2 linked regions of the Notamacropus eugenii genome follow. The protein of the gene in region 1 interacts with the protein of each later gene in a pairwise test. Links are inferred from orthologs where the notes say so. Each region holds a gene or a part of one and is shown on either strand. Other genes may lie near its edges.

Region 1 (7,176 bases):
TCCCAACACCGAGGAGTGCTGTGTCATGGTCATTGTGCTTGTCTGAATTCTCACATGTCAACATTATAAAAAATAAAATTCAAAACAAAAATGTTTCCATGACTACACTGGAGGGGGGTTTCCCGTTGGAATATTGTCAAATATTCACAGAACTAATAGAATTATTCTCTAAATGGCAATACAAGTAACTTGCAATACATATCATAGGATGAAACTGGAGCTGATTAAAGCAGGGATAGGTCATGATTTTCTTCCCTTTCCTTCTATTTTAACAAATTTCCCATCTTCAAACCATCACAAATTAACAGCTAGATGACTCTGGCTCATGGAATGGAATAAAGAATCCCTATCAGTTCCCTCCAAATTCTGCTAACCTTGCTTTCACCTGGTCCCTCCTGTCCTCTACATGTGTAAATGGCTTCCAGGAGTCTGCAACTGCCTCAAATGCCCTCGCTTTCTCCTTTTCTTCCCCCAGAACCTGATGGAGTCTCCCACCGCCTTCACTTTGTTTGGAAACAGCACCATTCCCAGAGGAAACACAGCCCTGCCGCACTGGCAGAGAGAGAAGCCCTTCCCATTCACCACCCTCCACAGAAGGAAGGGCAAATAGGAGCCACAACGGCGACTTCAGGCTTCAATCTCACTTTCTGCTACCAAGGGTCCAGGAATGGGAGACCAATTTAAAATGAGTGAAAACTGAGGAGTCAAAACCAGGAGTTACACACAATCACAATCACACAATAGTCCATTTAAACATTTCATGTTGCCTATCCAAAATCTCCAGTTAAGTCCTCAGCCTGCCAAACCCAATTTCTTGGGATCCTTACAGGTCACCTAGGAACTCTACATCAGGAAGTCTTTGAACTAAATTCTTAATCTTAATTCTAATTTATTCTAAATTCTAAAGGCAATAATTGCATTGTACATTTCTGTATAGAGTCCTATATACAGCTCCCTATGTGAACACAGTGGGAGCTCGGTAAGTATGATTCCCTACACTTCTCTAGGCAGATTTTACGGTCCCATTCAGACAAAGGATTGTTGGTTATCACATTTCCTTCCAGAATGTTAACAATAACCAATCTTTCTATATACCACACATATGATCTCATTCGACCTTCACAAGAACCTGTTACGGTCAGTGCTATTATTTTACAAAGGAAAAAAGTGCAGCTGAGAGCCTGGTTAGAGCCTTGGTCAGACGAGCACAGCCAGCAATGTCTGAGGCCGGCTGACGGTTACAAGCTCCACGGCACTACCCATTCCACTTTAACGAACTGAATGCAGCAGGGGCAATCCTTAGGAAAAGATCCGTAAATGATGTCAGCGGTCATAAGCTTCTTTCCAATCACCTTATGTAATTTATCAGCTCTAAATAAGGATGACACCAAGGAGGATGGATTGTGATTTTATTATTGAAATAAAGAACTTCGACTCCCTCTCCTAAAGCAGGTCAGCGTCTTCTTCGACTTCTGGTGTCAGAGAAGGGCCAGTCCTCGTCTGAGGCAGGAGTTGAACCCAGATCTTCCTGCCTCTGAGAATCCAGCCAATAAATGAGCCGGCACACTAAATGTTACCACTTTCAGAGAAAGTAGAGAAATAGGCTACATCTCTATCCATTTTTTTGGAGGTAATGGAGGTAAGTGACTTGCCCAGGGGGTCACACAGGGTCAAATATCTGAGACCCGACTTGAACTCAGGTCCTCCGGACTCCAGGGCCAGTGGACCTCTATCCATTTTTAAAACTACGGACAGCCTCCCACTGCATTTTCATTGCATATTCCACCTACAGACACCTGAATTAGTCCGCTCCCTCCCGCATAAAACCCTTCAGACAGAGGCCACCTAAACACCTGAAGAGCCCTTCAGAGCAGCACCCTCCTTCACTGTTTTAGAGATACTTCGAACACGTCACCCTCCCAGAGGGCTGCCCAGCCCAGGGTCAGCCCGGAGGCTACCGTCTGCGTCAGCTGAGAGGGACCCGGGGCGCGCTTGGTCCAGTAATTCGGCTGCAGGAAGGGGAAAGCGCACTTTTACGGGGCCTTCCGTAACCTCCCCCCCGCGCCTGGCTGGCATCAAGCCCTTAAGATCGCCGCTCCGAGGGCCGCCCCCCGCCCCAGGCTCTCGCAGCCCCCCTTAACTTCCCGGACGTTTCTCAAAAGCCCAAGTTCCGACTCCACTTGGTCTCCGGCCCCAAGTCGGACGCGCGGGGTCAGGCTCTGCCCAACACCTCCGCTGTCCGGTGAGGTCAAAGGGCACTGAACCCCCCAGCCCGCGCACTGCCTGGGGGAGGCAGAACGGCACTGGCCCATCCCGGAAGTACGCGGGATCCCTCCCCGCCCGCAGGCCCCGCCCCTCCCCGCCCCATACACAAACACGGGCTCCCGAGCGCCCCGCGCTCCCCTCCCCCTCCCGACACCCCGAGGACCTGGGCCGCTCCCCGCCCGCCCCCCCTCAGCTCCAGGGCCCAGCTCCTCCTTCTTTACGGTGCCGCCCCTGGTTCTGCCTCCGGGCCCGAGTGGGCCAACCGACCAGCACTCATTGGGCGCTTAGAGTATACGCGTGGAGGCTACCGAGATTCTAGTCCCGGCGTCTCCTCTTCTGGGAAGCTCTCACTTCACGAAGGGGAAACTGAGGCAGAGAGCGCCCGCCCCCCTGCCCCCTGGGCCCGAGTCCCTGCGGGCACGTCACAATCCCGCCCGGCCTCCGCCCGCCAGCCCCGGCTTCTTACCCCAGGCTGGCCCGGAGAGGCCTCTGCGAAGGCTGGGCAGCGTCACCAGGGCCTCCCGCTCAGAATGGCCATCAGCCACCGGGCGCCTTCCGCCACAAACAGGCGGACGAACGGCCGGACCTACGGACCGAGGAGGAGGAGCGGGGAAAGGAGGGACGGAGGGAGGGGCGAGCCAATCGCGGCCGTGAGCGTCACTTCCGTCCTTCCGGGAGGCTCGCTTCCGCCGCGTGCGTGCAGCCTCGTTCCGGGGCAGGAAGGGGCGCGCCGGGGGCGGGGCGCCAGGTCTGCGCAGGCGCGACGACCCCGGGCTTGAACCCGCCACTCCCCTCGGCCAGGGGCTGGAGTCCCGCCCCCTGCGCCTTCCCATTCGGAGCCCGGGACGGAGAGGGACATGTCAGTACCCGAGTCTCCGTGTCTGGGTTCGAATCCTGCCTCCCCGAGGGCAGGCAGGGCTGCCTGGCTTGCGTCACAGCGCAGTCAGGTTTGCAGAGCACGTCTCATAACAGGCCCGGGAGGGGGAGTTGGGGGGGCTGTTATCGCCCCCATTTCACAGATCAGGGAATTGAGGCCCACACTGCTACAGCTTCGAGGCACGATCTGAACCCAGGGCTTCTGGGGCTCGCGGATGAAGGGGAAGGACTGTCTCCTCCCCTCCCGCCTGCGACATCCCCTTCCCCAGCGGAGGGTCAGCCCCAACCGGGGAGGAACTTTGCCGAGGTCTCTGTCCTCTCTGATGCCCAGCACGGAGCTGGCGGACGGTGGAGTCGCGTAGTAACCACTAAATAAATAATGGGAGCCCGAGGACCTGGGTTCGAATCCTGCCTGACCCGCATGGCCGGGCGGCCGTCTGCCATCCGTGCCGTTGTCTTGGGTGCCTCCAAAAGCTTCGGGCCCCCACGGCTCGGATCCAACCCTCGTCTACAGGACATCAGTCAAACTTCATTTGTACAGAAAGCCACTGTCGTGGGCACCCCTTGCTTACTGGTCCAGTAAGCCTTCCTGCCTCTCCCTCCAGTGGTTTCTGTGTGTCTACAGACACGTGTGCAAATGACATACACGTACACAAATACGTATATGAGGATAAAGGCAGCTTAGTACTTACATCCATAGAGATACTACACGTATAGTGGTTACTGTAACTAGTATAGTGATAACTGTAACTAGAAATAGAAACTGACATTAGTAAGCACTTTGCTGGGGATGGTTTAATCTCCATCTGAAGATCTTGACCTTTTAGAAAGTGAAGAAACTTTAGATCTAGTGACATCAGCCCCAGGGTTTTTCCTGGAGTTTTTCTTGCTTTGCATTTTTTAGCACAGTCAACAATTAGGGCAATTAGCTTCCATTCTTATCTAAAAGAAATCCAGGGGTTCAGCCAACCCCACATATGCTAATACATTCCATTTTAATGATGCCCGCCTTGACCAAGCACCTAGAAGGTTTATGGTAGTATCAGTCAGCAAGATATACTGAGTGTTCAGTGTGATGCAAGATACTAGAAAGAATTTAAAAAGAAATACCACATCCGGCAATCTGTGAGCTCAAGTCCAGTAATAATGTGGACATGACATCTGTGCATAAAATGTTAACTACCAAGAAAAAGTTATCAAAGCTTTGTATTTTTCATTTCATTTGCTTTTCATGATGGCCCTGATATTATTGAATATTCCTATTTTGCAGATGGGAAACCTGGAAGTTACCTGCCCATGACCACACAGCTACAAGTATCAGAAACAAGATTTAGGCTGCTGAGGCCAAGTCCACCGAAATGCCACCATTACCATACTGCCTTTTAGTATAGTAGATATCTTGGGAGTCTGGAGAAAGGAGTCGCCACTACAGAACAGAATGGGGGAGGGAGGCTTAGTAGAAGAGGAATAGTAAGTGCTTGATTAAGTGATCCTGGAAGGTTGAACTCCACTGTGTGAGCAGATGGAAATAACCCATCTCTCCTCTGCTCAGGAGTCAGGAGCTGCAAAGGATGCAGAAATACCAGATACGGTCTCTGCCTAACACACATAAAACAATCATTACCAAACAGGCAGCATACCACTAAGCTTAAGGTTTTGTAGCACACAACTCTGCTGTGAGAGAAGAGAGGAGAGATTATTGTCATGACTTCATGGGAGATCAGACACCAAAACAGATCTTGAAGATCACGTGGGATTTCAATGGCTAGAGAGCAAGGCAGAAGGAATGATTCTAAGCCAGAGATACAATAGGAAGGAAAGCCTTCCTTATACTTTTCAAAATGGGAATGAACTTGGCATTTTCTGGAGACATTGAGAATAATAACCTAAATACAAGTTAGGGATTAATATAAAATAAGGTTAGAAATAGGGGCGAACCATGTTATTCAAGACCTTGAAAACCAAGCAACAGTTTGTACTAGGGACTTATGGAAAGATACTTGTTGTCCAAAGAGGATCAAAATGACATCACTATGCTAGAGTCAAGTTACAATGTGTCCAACTGTAGCTGATCAGACCAACATGAGCTCAGAATGTTCTGCCGCAGGTCAGGCACAAATAGTCTTTGTGAACATTTGGGGTAAAATGAGATTGAGAAGGGGACCTTGAACTACTTGGGTAGGAAGGGCATTCAAACCTATTCAGAGTCCAGTCAGTTCTGATCTTCTGAGAGGAAGGGGGGATACAATTGTGGGAGGAGCGAAAGATAAATTTAGAAAAAAGAAAGTTATGCCTAGCTTACAGAAAGCCTTGAGTATCAGACCAAGGCGGGATATAGAGCCAATGAGGTTTTTTGAACAGGAAAGTAGCATGAAGAAAGATTGAATAAGAAAGGGAAATTGGAGGCAGAGAAAATATTTTGTCTTTGCATTCCGTGTGGCTGGCATAATGAAACTGGAGGCTGTGGAAATAGAGGCCTGAACCACAGTGAGGGCAATTGATGGGGTTCAGACTCTGAGAACTTCCTTGAACTCCCCTGGAATCTCCTCACTTAACCTGGCTTTTCATACTCAGATTGAGCTCTCCTAGTATCTCCTCACTTAACCTGGCTTTTCGTACTCAAATCTGCGGCCATTGTCTGTTACCTCTTGATTGTCCCACCTGCTTCCCACCTAGGCGCCCCCTAGTCTGATATCTCCTGATAGCCTCCAGCTGTTTCCAGCCTTTGACCCTCCTTGGATTCCCTCCTTGAACTTCTCCTCAAGGCCCTTCCTAAACCCCTCCTCCCATCACCCTGGACACCCCCCCCCCCCCCAGATCCCTCCTATACTCTTTTCTGTGTTTAGTTCCATCTCACCTCCATGAAGGCACTCAGATGCAATCCAGCTCAGACTCTGTCTAGCTGGGATTCTGTCCGGCCCGCTTGTGAATGCAAGCGTTACAAGTGCTTAGGCTCCTTAAGAGGCAACCCAAGATGGCAAATCTTTAATAAACTTTGTTTTCTTTGGCTTTAAGAAGACTTGAGTCGAATTCATTCTAGCACGACCCAGACTGTCAATATTTTGGGGTCCCCATCACCCCTCAACCTTGTCACACTGACTGGATGCGGAGATCGGACATTAGAAGCCAAGACCTTAAGTCAAAGATGGCATAACTAAGAAAATGCTGATGGCAAACATGGGGCGAGACAAAATGGGAAGACATGTGGCGTGGAGAGGAGCAACAGAAAATTTGTCTTGTGGCGTGCTAGTGATGTTCAGTCCACCAAGTTAGTCCAGCAGTATATTTACTTTGGACAAGTGTTGCAAATGAGTCATGATGATTTGAGATCAGATCTAAATAGGAAGCTGAGTGCTTGCATTTGGGAAGTGGTGTAGAATTTTCTGGGATCACAAAGTCCCTTAGTGCCATCTTTTAACCCCAGTATTCTTCTAGGAATACCATATGGCAACAAACCAAGGGGTACCTTCAAAGAATCAAAATGGTAGATGGTCCAAGAGTCAGTGGAGAGGTGCTTGGTAGTGTCAGGAGCCTGTAACCTATGCCAGGATACAGGAAATAGGGTAAAAGCATCCTCACAAACATGTTCAGTAAAGGACATGTATGGGGAAAGGAATGAAGAGGTAATAGATGCAAGGCCCTGGGTTGCACTAGAATCCAGGAAAGATCCAAAGACCCAGAACAAGGACTCTGGCATGTAGATTGTGTGAAGACTTACAGGGTACAAGTTCAGAAAATACACAAAAAGGGAAGAAGGCATAAGCTGCCATCCCCACTGGCCCTGGGACTCACCCTTGTTGTACTCACATCCATCAGAGTATTAAAGAAGCTTTTCAGTAACTTTAGAGATGATGGTATGGAATAATAGAGGGCCTGGTAGTGTTAGTCAGGAAAGAACTGAGTTCAAATCTCAATTTGACTGTTTTGTAGTGGTAGGAATGTGGACAAGTCTCTAAGCCTCAGTTTTTTCATGTGTAAAGAAGATATAAAAATCTTTCTACCTCAAGATATATATATTTTATATATTTATATAAA
Region 2 (7,889 bases), on another chromosome or scaffold:
GCCACCTTCTTTAAAAACATCTCATTTGATCTTCACAGCAACCCTGTGACCCATTTTACATTTGAGGAAACACAGGCAAATAGAAGTTAGGTAACTATCCCAAAATCTCACCTCCTCAGTGTCTGAGACTGGATTTGAACTCAGGGTTTCCTGACTTTATGCCCAGCACTCTATCCACTGTACCACCTGGCTGCCTTTAAAGTCCAATGGGTGTCCATACCAAGTACAGGGCAAAGATAACAATAACCGTAATAATAGCTAGCATTTTTATAACACTTCGAGGTTTGCAAAGCACTTTACAAATATTATCTCATTTGATCCTCACAACCACCCTGGGAGGTAGGTGTTATTATCATCCCCATTTTACAAATGAGGAAACTGAGTTACAGAGAGGTGAAGTGATTTACCCAGGTTCACACAGCTGGTAAGTGTCTGAGGCAGGATTGAATTGAGGCTTTCCTGACTCCAGGTCCAGTATTCTTATCTAGAACGAAGGGCCAACAGGCTGACTAAAGAATAGTGACCCACCTAGGTGGAAAAAACATGGCAAGTCAAAATTTCAGTACCAATTAACAGCAGGTCAGTTCATCACTGGCCACTGCACTTACTGTCTGGGTGAGACAGGGAGACCTAGTGTTAAAAAAAAAAAAAAAGTCTAATTGTTCACCTTCTGTTTCCTCCCAATTAACATAGGGATGGTTTCAGCACAGTAACTTCCATGACAAGAATAGAGAAAAATACAGTATGGAGGACTATACTAAGGAAAAAAAAGTCTTGTCAATAAGATTTCTACCTTCCAAAAATAAAGGTAGGAATGTTCTTCTCTTCTTAATTTTCTTGAACTCGTTTATGGTATATTCACATAAAAATGTCTTGTTATGAATTTAACCATCTTTGATTCATGTAAGCATTTCAATCTACAAAGTACAAGGAAGATAACTGTAGAAGAAATTACTGTCACATTCTGCCTTACATTACACTTATGTGTGTACACATGGTCCTGTTACTCCTTGGTAAACTTTTTGGCCCAGGCTATCATGGAATCATCCTTGTAGCACCAGCTGCTTGGTTGAGTGCCTCCAACATAATAGATGCTTAAGCAATGATCACCAAATGAGATGTAGGGAGAAACAGCTTATTTAAGTTACAAAACTCCCCAAGGAAAGTCCCTAGCTTCCTTTTTTTTTTTTGTTTTGGTGGAGAATTATACAGTAAATCATAGTTACTTAGCTCTTAGACATCTATTTTTAGCTCCAAATACTTTTTATTGAATCCATATGTTAGGTGATGATGTGCTTAGCACAGTGCCTGATACACAGTAGGTGCTTCATAAATGTTGCCTGATTGATGGATAGGCAAGGCAGCTTGGGTCATTGGAACAGGCACTGTCTCTCAAGTCTGAGGAGCTGTTTTCAACCCCTAACTCTGATGCTCACTCTGGGTATGGTTTCAGACAAGCCAGCTAGCCTCTTTGAACTTCAGTTTCCTCATCGGTAAAATGTGGGGATTGAACTAGATGGCTTACTAGCTCCATTCCAGCTAGAGCTCTATGATCCAATGCTCCAATTCTACCTCTTTATGTTTGGTTTCCAGAAGGCAATTTTCTGTCCTGTTCCTTCAATTCTATCCTATTTTGCTGGTGGAGGACGTAAGAGGGAAGATAGTGGAGGTAGCAGGTACTCCTACTCCAAGCTGCTCTGGATTTGTTTTTGTTTTTGTTTTTTTTTGAGACACAGAGACAAAGAAAAGGACAGTCATACTAAATCACAGAAAGGCACAGAGACATGTACAGAGACACAGACACATGTCAACAGAGACACACAAAGACATATACAGAGAAAACACATAGAAACAAAAAGACACAGCGACATACAGAGATATGTACAAAGACACAGAGGGAGACAGAGTACACAGTGAGTAGTCATGAATTTTTAATTCATAAAGTCAGAGTGACTTGAAACTAGGCTTTTTTGCACTAAGCTCTGGATAGCTTCTTTTTAAATTCTGGAATAAATTCCAAAAGGAGGGAATAAAAGGCTTCTCAGGTGATTAAAAAAAAAAGCACCTGTGACTTTAGGATAACTCAAGTAATGCTCACTTTAGCTCTATCAGGCTGGGGCTCTCCAAGCTAGGATACTCCAAGAGGTTAAGCACCAGTTCAACATTTCCTGGCCACCCTGAAGAGAAAGGGTGAATCACAGACAGACTCCCCCTCCCAGAGCTAGTCCAAGAGAAGCTCTTCTCCCTGACTCCTCCCACCCCTCCCGTACCTACAGAACGGTGTCTCTAGTTTTGCCACCTACCTAATGATAGTTAGAAACTGAGTCATGGTCAGCTCCTGGGGAACGAGGAATTTGGTTTTGTCCAGCGGGGGAAGGTATTTCTCCTTCTGATAACGTTCAACTATCACCTGTTAAAACGTTTAAACATAAATTGAAGCAAAGCCAATTGCTCCCTTCTGAGTGGAACTGAACAAGATCGCTTGCCTGGAATCACTGAGTCCAGGTGGGAGTTAGTGGGAGAGTGTATCACGGGGCCCTGTGGTTGTTCCAATACTTTATTGATCACGGCTCAAGACAGTACCATTATCCCACCCACCTTCTACCACAGGGACCTCCTTACCGGTATCTTGCTTGGGAACTTTTCCCGGATCCCAGCAACTTCCTCTTTTCTGATTGCTGTAATGGCACACGAAGAGTTAATCAAACAAATGAAATGAGGTCTGTATCCATCCTTTCCCCTCGTTCCCCACCTCTCCTCTCCTAGGAGGATCCCCCTTAGTTGTACCTAAGCTTTTCCGTTGCTTGAAAGGTCGAATGGATTGACTTTTCTGCTGAGGTTGCATTTTATTCAACAGGTTTTCTGTGAGGATTGACTTAATGTAAATTTTTAAATTCCCCAGTAATGAAGGGCTGTGCTATTTCTTTTTCTCCAGCTGCTTTCAAACTGTCTGCAAGAGCCTAATGAAGTACCTTATATAGTCCTGGGTGTGACATCATGTTTTCCCCCTCCCCTTTTCCCCCCCACCCCTCACAACCCAAACCCACAGCCTGTGAAGTAGAGGTCAGCCTCACAGATGGGAATGGAAAAGTGGGTCTGTTTTGTTAGTCAGAGCAAGTCCAAAGTTGCTTTGCTCATTATCAGAGAACATTTTCCCCTTTACGGCTAAAGGAATGAAGGCATCCTTATACCACTATCTTCCTACCTAGCCTATTCCATGAAATTCTTCAGAGGTGAAAATTCCTCATACTAAAGCTCTTTGGGTATTTCCGTAACTATGTCCTCTTGGGGGGAGTCCAAGATTGATCTGCATTATACTGAATTCTGACCTAGAATCAAGTGTTACAGCAAAGTTCTATTTTGAATTTGTTCTTGACTTTAGCATATCATTTCCCCCTCATAGAATCCTACTGAGGGATAGATGTCATAAGAGATGGAAGACAAACATTATTCCCAAGATTCCCTATTTTATAGACGAAGAAGCTGAGTTAGTTAGTAGTACCTTTTACTCGTCTCTCAGGTTTCAAACTCAAAAACCACCTTTGACTCCTCTCTCTTCAACACCTGCATCTCATCAGTGGTCATTTCCTACTCCAGGTCTTTTGCATCTCTCTTAATCTTATCCTTCACAGTGTTACCAGCCCAGTTGCATTCTTTGTTACTTTACTGGTGGGAATATTTCAATAACCTCCTAACTGATCCTTCTGCCTTAGTTTTTCCCCTTGCTTTAAATATACAGTTGTTACCTTAATTATGTTATAAAAACATATAAATATCCCATTGTCAAAGTCTTCTTCAAATCATGTTACTCCGTACTCAAAAAATCTTTAATGACTCTCTACTGCTTTTTAACATAAAGTCTAAACTCCTTAGAGGTTCACACTGTACTCTAACCTACCTTACCAGTCTCATGTTAGATTTCTCCTTGTAATTAACTTTATCCTTTAGCCAAACTGACCCACTTGTCACTCCCTTACTAGATCCAGTCCTTTCCTATCTCTTTTCTTATAGCATCCCTTGTGCTTTTAGTTAATTCTTTTTAACTCTACCTGTTGAAATCATTTTCAACCATAAAGGTATAATTCTGGCCTGGGTCCCCCTAAAGCGTTTCCTTATTCTCTGTAGGTGAAAGGGATACCTCTCTTGCTTTACTCTTTTATGCAATCTTTGAATCCTTCCTATGTACTTATCCATATCTATATTTGTAATGTTAGTAGGAAGTATTAGAGATATTTGTATACATATCCCTTCTCTCCTATTAGACTACAACCATCCTGAGAGAAGAAATCATGTCTGATTCATCTTTGCATCATAAGTTACTAACTCAGTGCCCTACAAATTTGTTGTTCAGTCATTTCAGCCATGTCCTTCTTTGTGACCATATTTGGGGTTTTCTTGGCAGATACTGGAGTGATTAGACATTTCCTTCTCCAGCTTATTTTACAAATGAGGAAACTGAGACAAAAGGTTAAGTTACTTGTCCAGTGTCACACAGCTAATAAGTCTCTGAGTTCATATTTGAACTTAGGTCTGACTCCAGGTCCATCTCACTGTCCACCCACCTGCCCCAGCTCTACAAATAGTAGGTGTTTCATGCTTGTTAAATTGAATGGGATGCATTTATTGGGACAAGAACCCAGGACTTCATACTGTCAACCTTTTGTCTTTCTTTATAGACCATAACGGGTGGCTCTGCTTTTATTGTGGTAAGGAACTTTGGAAGAGTTACTTTTCCATCTTTGTGTTTTTATTTTTGACTCCTGTCCTTCACCTTGAACATCTTTTTTTCTTCATCTGTTTAAATCTTAAATATCTTCCAAGTTCTTGAAATCCCATTATTCCACAAAGCCTTTCCTGATTACTCCTGACTATACAATAATTTCTCTTTCTTCTGAACTCCAATGGCACTTGCCTTATAAGGAAACTTTCTGAATATGTATTTTATTTCCCCAACTAGAAGTTTGTTTAGAGTAGGAAACAGTTAAGTAAAATGACATAAAAGAATGATCGGACTGATACATGACATGTACTTTAGTCTTTTTTTTTTCCAGTTTGTTAAAGGATGATGTATGTTCAATAAGATATTGATGATGCTTTTGATTTCTGAGGTACAGTTTTTCTGGGGTTATAGATCATAGGATGATTGTTGAGGGTTTGATGATATGGTGAAGCAAATTTACTAATAAATATATTTTTTAAAGTAAGAAATAATAGTGCTCTGTATTCTCCTATGAGGTCTAGCATGGTGTCATGAATTTAATAGGCATTAGATGCTCAGCAAGTATCTGTGGATTGGTATTTCTGTGCTTCCAGTGGAGCAAGGCTACTTCTCAAAACAGCTCGTTCCACTTTTGCATTTCTCTAATTAGTAGGCAACTTTGTTTACATAAAGACTAAATTTGCTTACACAATTTCTCATTGCTCCTAGTTCTACTCTCAGGGGCCAATCTGAACAAACTGAATTCCTCTTCCTTCTAGTATCATATCTTCTTCTTTTCCAGGCTAAATATCCCCATTTTCTTTAATCAGTTCTCATATGGCAAGAGATCAAAGTCCTTCATTGTATAGACTGCTCTCCTTTGGATTCTTTCTAACTTACAATGTTCTTTCTAAAATATAGTGATTCATTAATAATGACACATTAGGTACATCCATTCAACCACATCTAAATCTACCTAACTATGCTACCATGTGTCTTACTTCTCTACATATTGTCCACAAGAATAGCCAAAATACTCTGCTAAAAATACAAGTCAAAAAAAAAAAAACCTACACTATTCCTCTGATCAGACCAGTCTAGTATATCTGTCATGGAGAAAAAGAGCGAAGTCTTCCATAACTTGTTTTTTAAATGCATGTTCAACATTATTTGATTACAAGCAATTGAACCATTCTCATGACATATCAACACTCTTACCAACATATCTAGTCTTATGAGCAAACATAGCATGATTTGTTCTCAATGAAGCCAGGTTGGCTCTTTGTGATCACTGCTACATTTTATAAATGTCCACTAATCATTCATTTAATCTTTTTCCTAGAATTTTTCCAGGAATACAAACCCAGCTTACTGGTCATGGTTTACAGACTCCATTTTCTTCACTTTTCTGAAGATTAGGACTTTTTTTTTCACCTTCATAATCTTCCACCTCTTCAGAAAAAGGAGGATACTGTTTTCTCATATCTCTTCTTTGTGTTCAGGCTTAGCCAAAAGCATACAGTTTTGAACGGAGGTGGTGGTGTTATTTATTTTATTATTGTTACTGTATATATTGTTTTTCCTGGTCCTTCTTGCTTCACTTTGAATCAGTTCATGTAAGTTTTCCTATACTCATCTGTAGTCTTCATACACATTTCTCCCAGAATCATTTTTTTGTTGCAGTCATTTCCTACAATTTGTGTAGTACTTTTGTTCTAGTTCTTGCCACAAAAAGTACTACAACCAGTATTTTGGTGTATATGGAACCTATCTTTCTGCCTCTGACCTCCTTGGGATATGTGCTTAACATTTCTTGATTAGTCAAAGATCCCTCAGGGCCTTGGCAAACAGCTGCTCCTTCTTGTCATGGACACAAGTTCACCTTGGTTAGGAATCAAGGACCTAATGGAACTGTCTGTACAAAGCAGATGTTGAGGGATATTAGAAAAAGAAAAGATAAGAAAAAGAAGCCAGAAAAGGATGTCCAGAATTTCGTAGTGAAAGGACTCCAAGACTGGGCTGGGTTATCTGTCCCAGAACCCTCCCTTTTTACTTCAGGAATCTTTCCAAGGGCTTTAATCCTGACTTTATGGAGAGGCCAGTGTGGAATGGTATGATGTTAGTGCAAGTCTCCTGCTATAGCTGATAGGGCATAAATAACTAGACTCAGATAAGACATGGTCTAATCATACTAATATTGATATGATTAAGGAGAATTTTAAATTTTACAGAAAAAATGAATTATTTTTTTTCCTTCCTGGGTTTAACTCTAGGTATATCTGGAAAGAGTAATGGGTTTTTTGGTCATTAGAGACCGGGATTTAAATCCCACCTCTGACACTAGCTATGTTACCATGAATAAATACCTTCATCTGAGTCTTAGTTATCCATTCTCTAAAACTGGGTTAATAATCCCTTAAGTGACCTACCTCACTGGGATGTAGTGAGAACTGGAGCAGAGAAGATATATAAAGGGGTCTGTAAATTTAAATCACTGTGTAAATGCCTATTATTGCTGTTCCTATTATGTTATACCACTTGCCAGCAAAATTTCAGACCAATTAATTTAATGAAATACAGAAGCTATTTCTCTAGTGTCAAATTGTAGCTGGAGCCAATTCTGGTTTCCATTTTAAAATCAACCACTGATTAATGGTTATGGAAGCTTAAAGTCTGCTCAACTAGCCGCTATAAATACTTAAATTGGTTCCTACAGGAGCAGCAATAGCAAAAGATTCATGTACTTCAACACAAGACTCCTTGTAGGGGTTACCTGAATTTTTTCTTGTGGTCATTGTATCAAAGTTTAGTGTACTCCAGTGCTCAGCTAGTTAGTATGCCTTCCTCCTTGACTACATGGATGCCTCAGTGTTCACACAGACACAGTCACTGGTTTTATGAAATCAAATATAAAAACTGGCATGTATAAAATACATAAAATTACTTGAGTCAAAATGCATTTATTGCAAGCTTACTATGTGCCAGACATTGTTATAAGTGGTGGGTAGTACAAAAAAAGGCAAAAAGATGGTCCTTATTGTCAGGAAGTTTATATTCTAATGGGGGTGATAACTTATGAACAACTATGTGGATACAAGAAAATTTTAAAAACGAAAGGAACTTTGATGGAGGAAGGAATCAGCATCTGGGAGACATAGGAAAGTCTTCTTGGAACAGGTGGAATTAGAGT

The links.
Region 2: the proteins of TAX1BP1 (region 1) and MAP1LC3C interact in binary tests that used the Homo sapiens proteins (3 or more experiments, as listed by UniProt). The link is inferred for Notamacropus eugenii from reciprocal best matches to the Homo sapiens genes TAX1BP1 and MAP1LC3C.

What each region holds. Positions count from the first base shown.
Region 1 is NC_092874.1:18,740,701-18,747,876, reverse strand, and holds the start of TAX1BP1 (tax1-binding protein 1), read right to left. Parts: upstream 3,012-7,176; 5' UTR 2,732-3,011; intron 1-2,731.
Region 2 is NC_092873.1:402,775,606-402,783,494, forward strand, and holds the start of MAP1LC3C (microtubule-associated protein 1 light chain 3 gamma), read right to left. Parts: upstream 3,009-7,889; 5' UTR 2,846-3,008; coding exon 2,788-2,845; intron 2,679-2,787; coding exon 2,623-2,678; intron 2,411-2,622; coding exon 2,304-2,410; intron 1-2,303.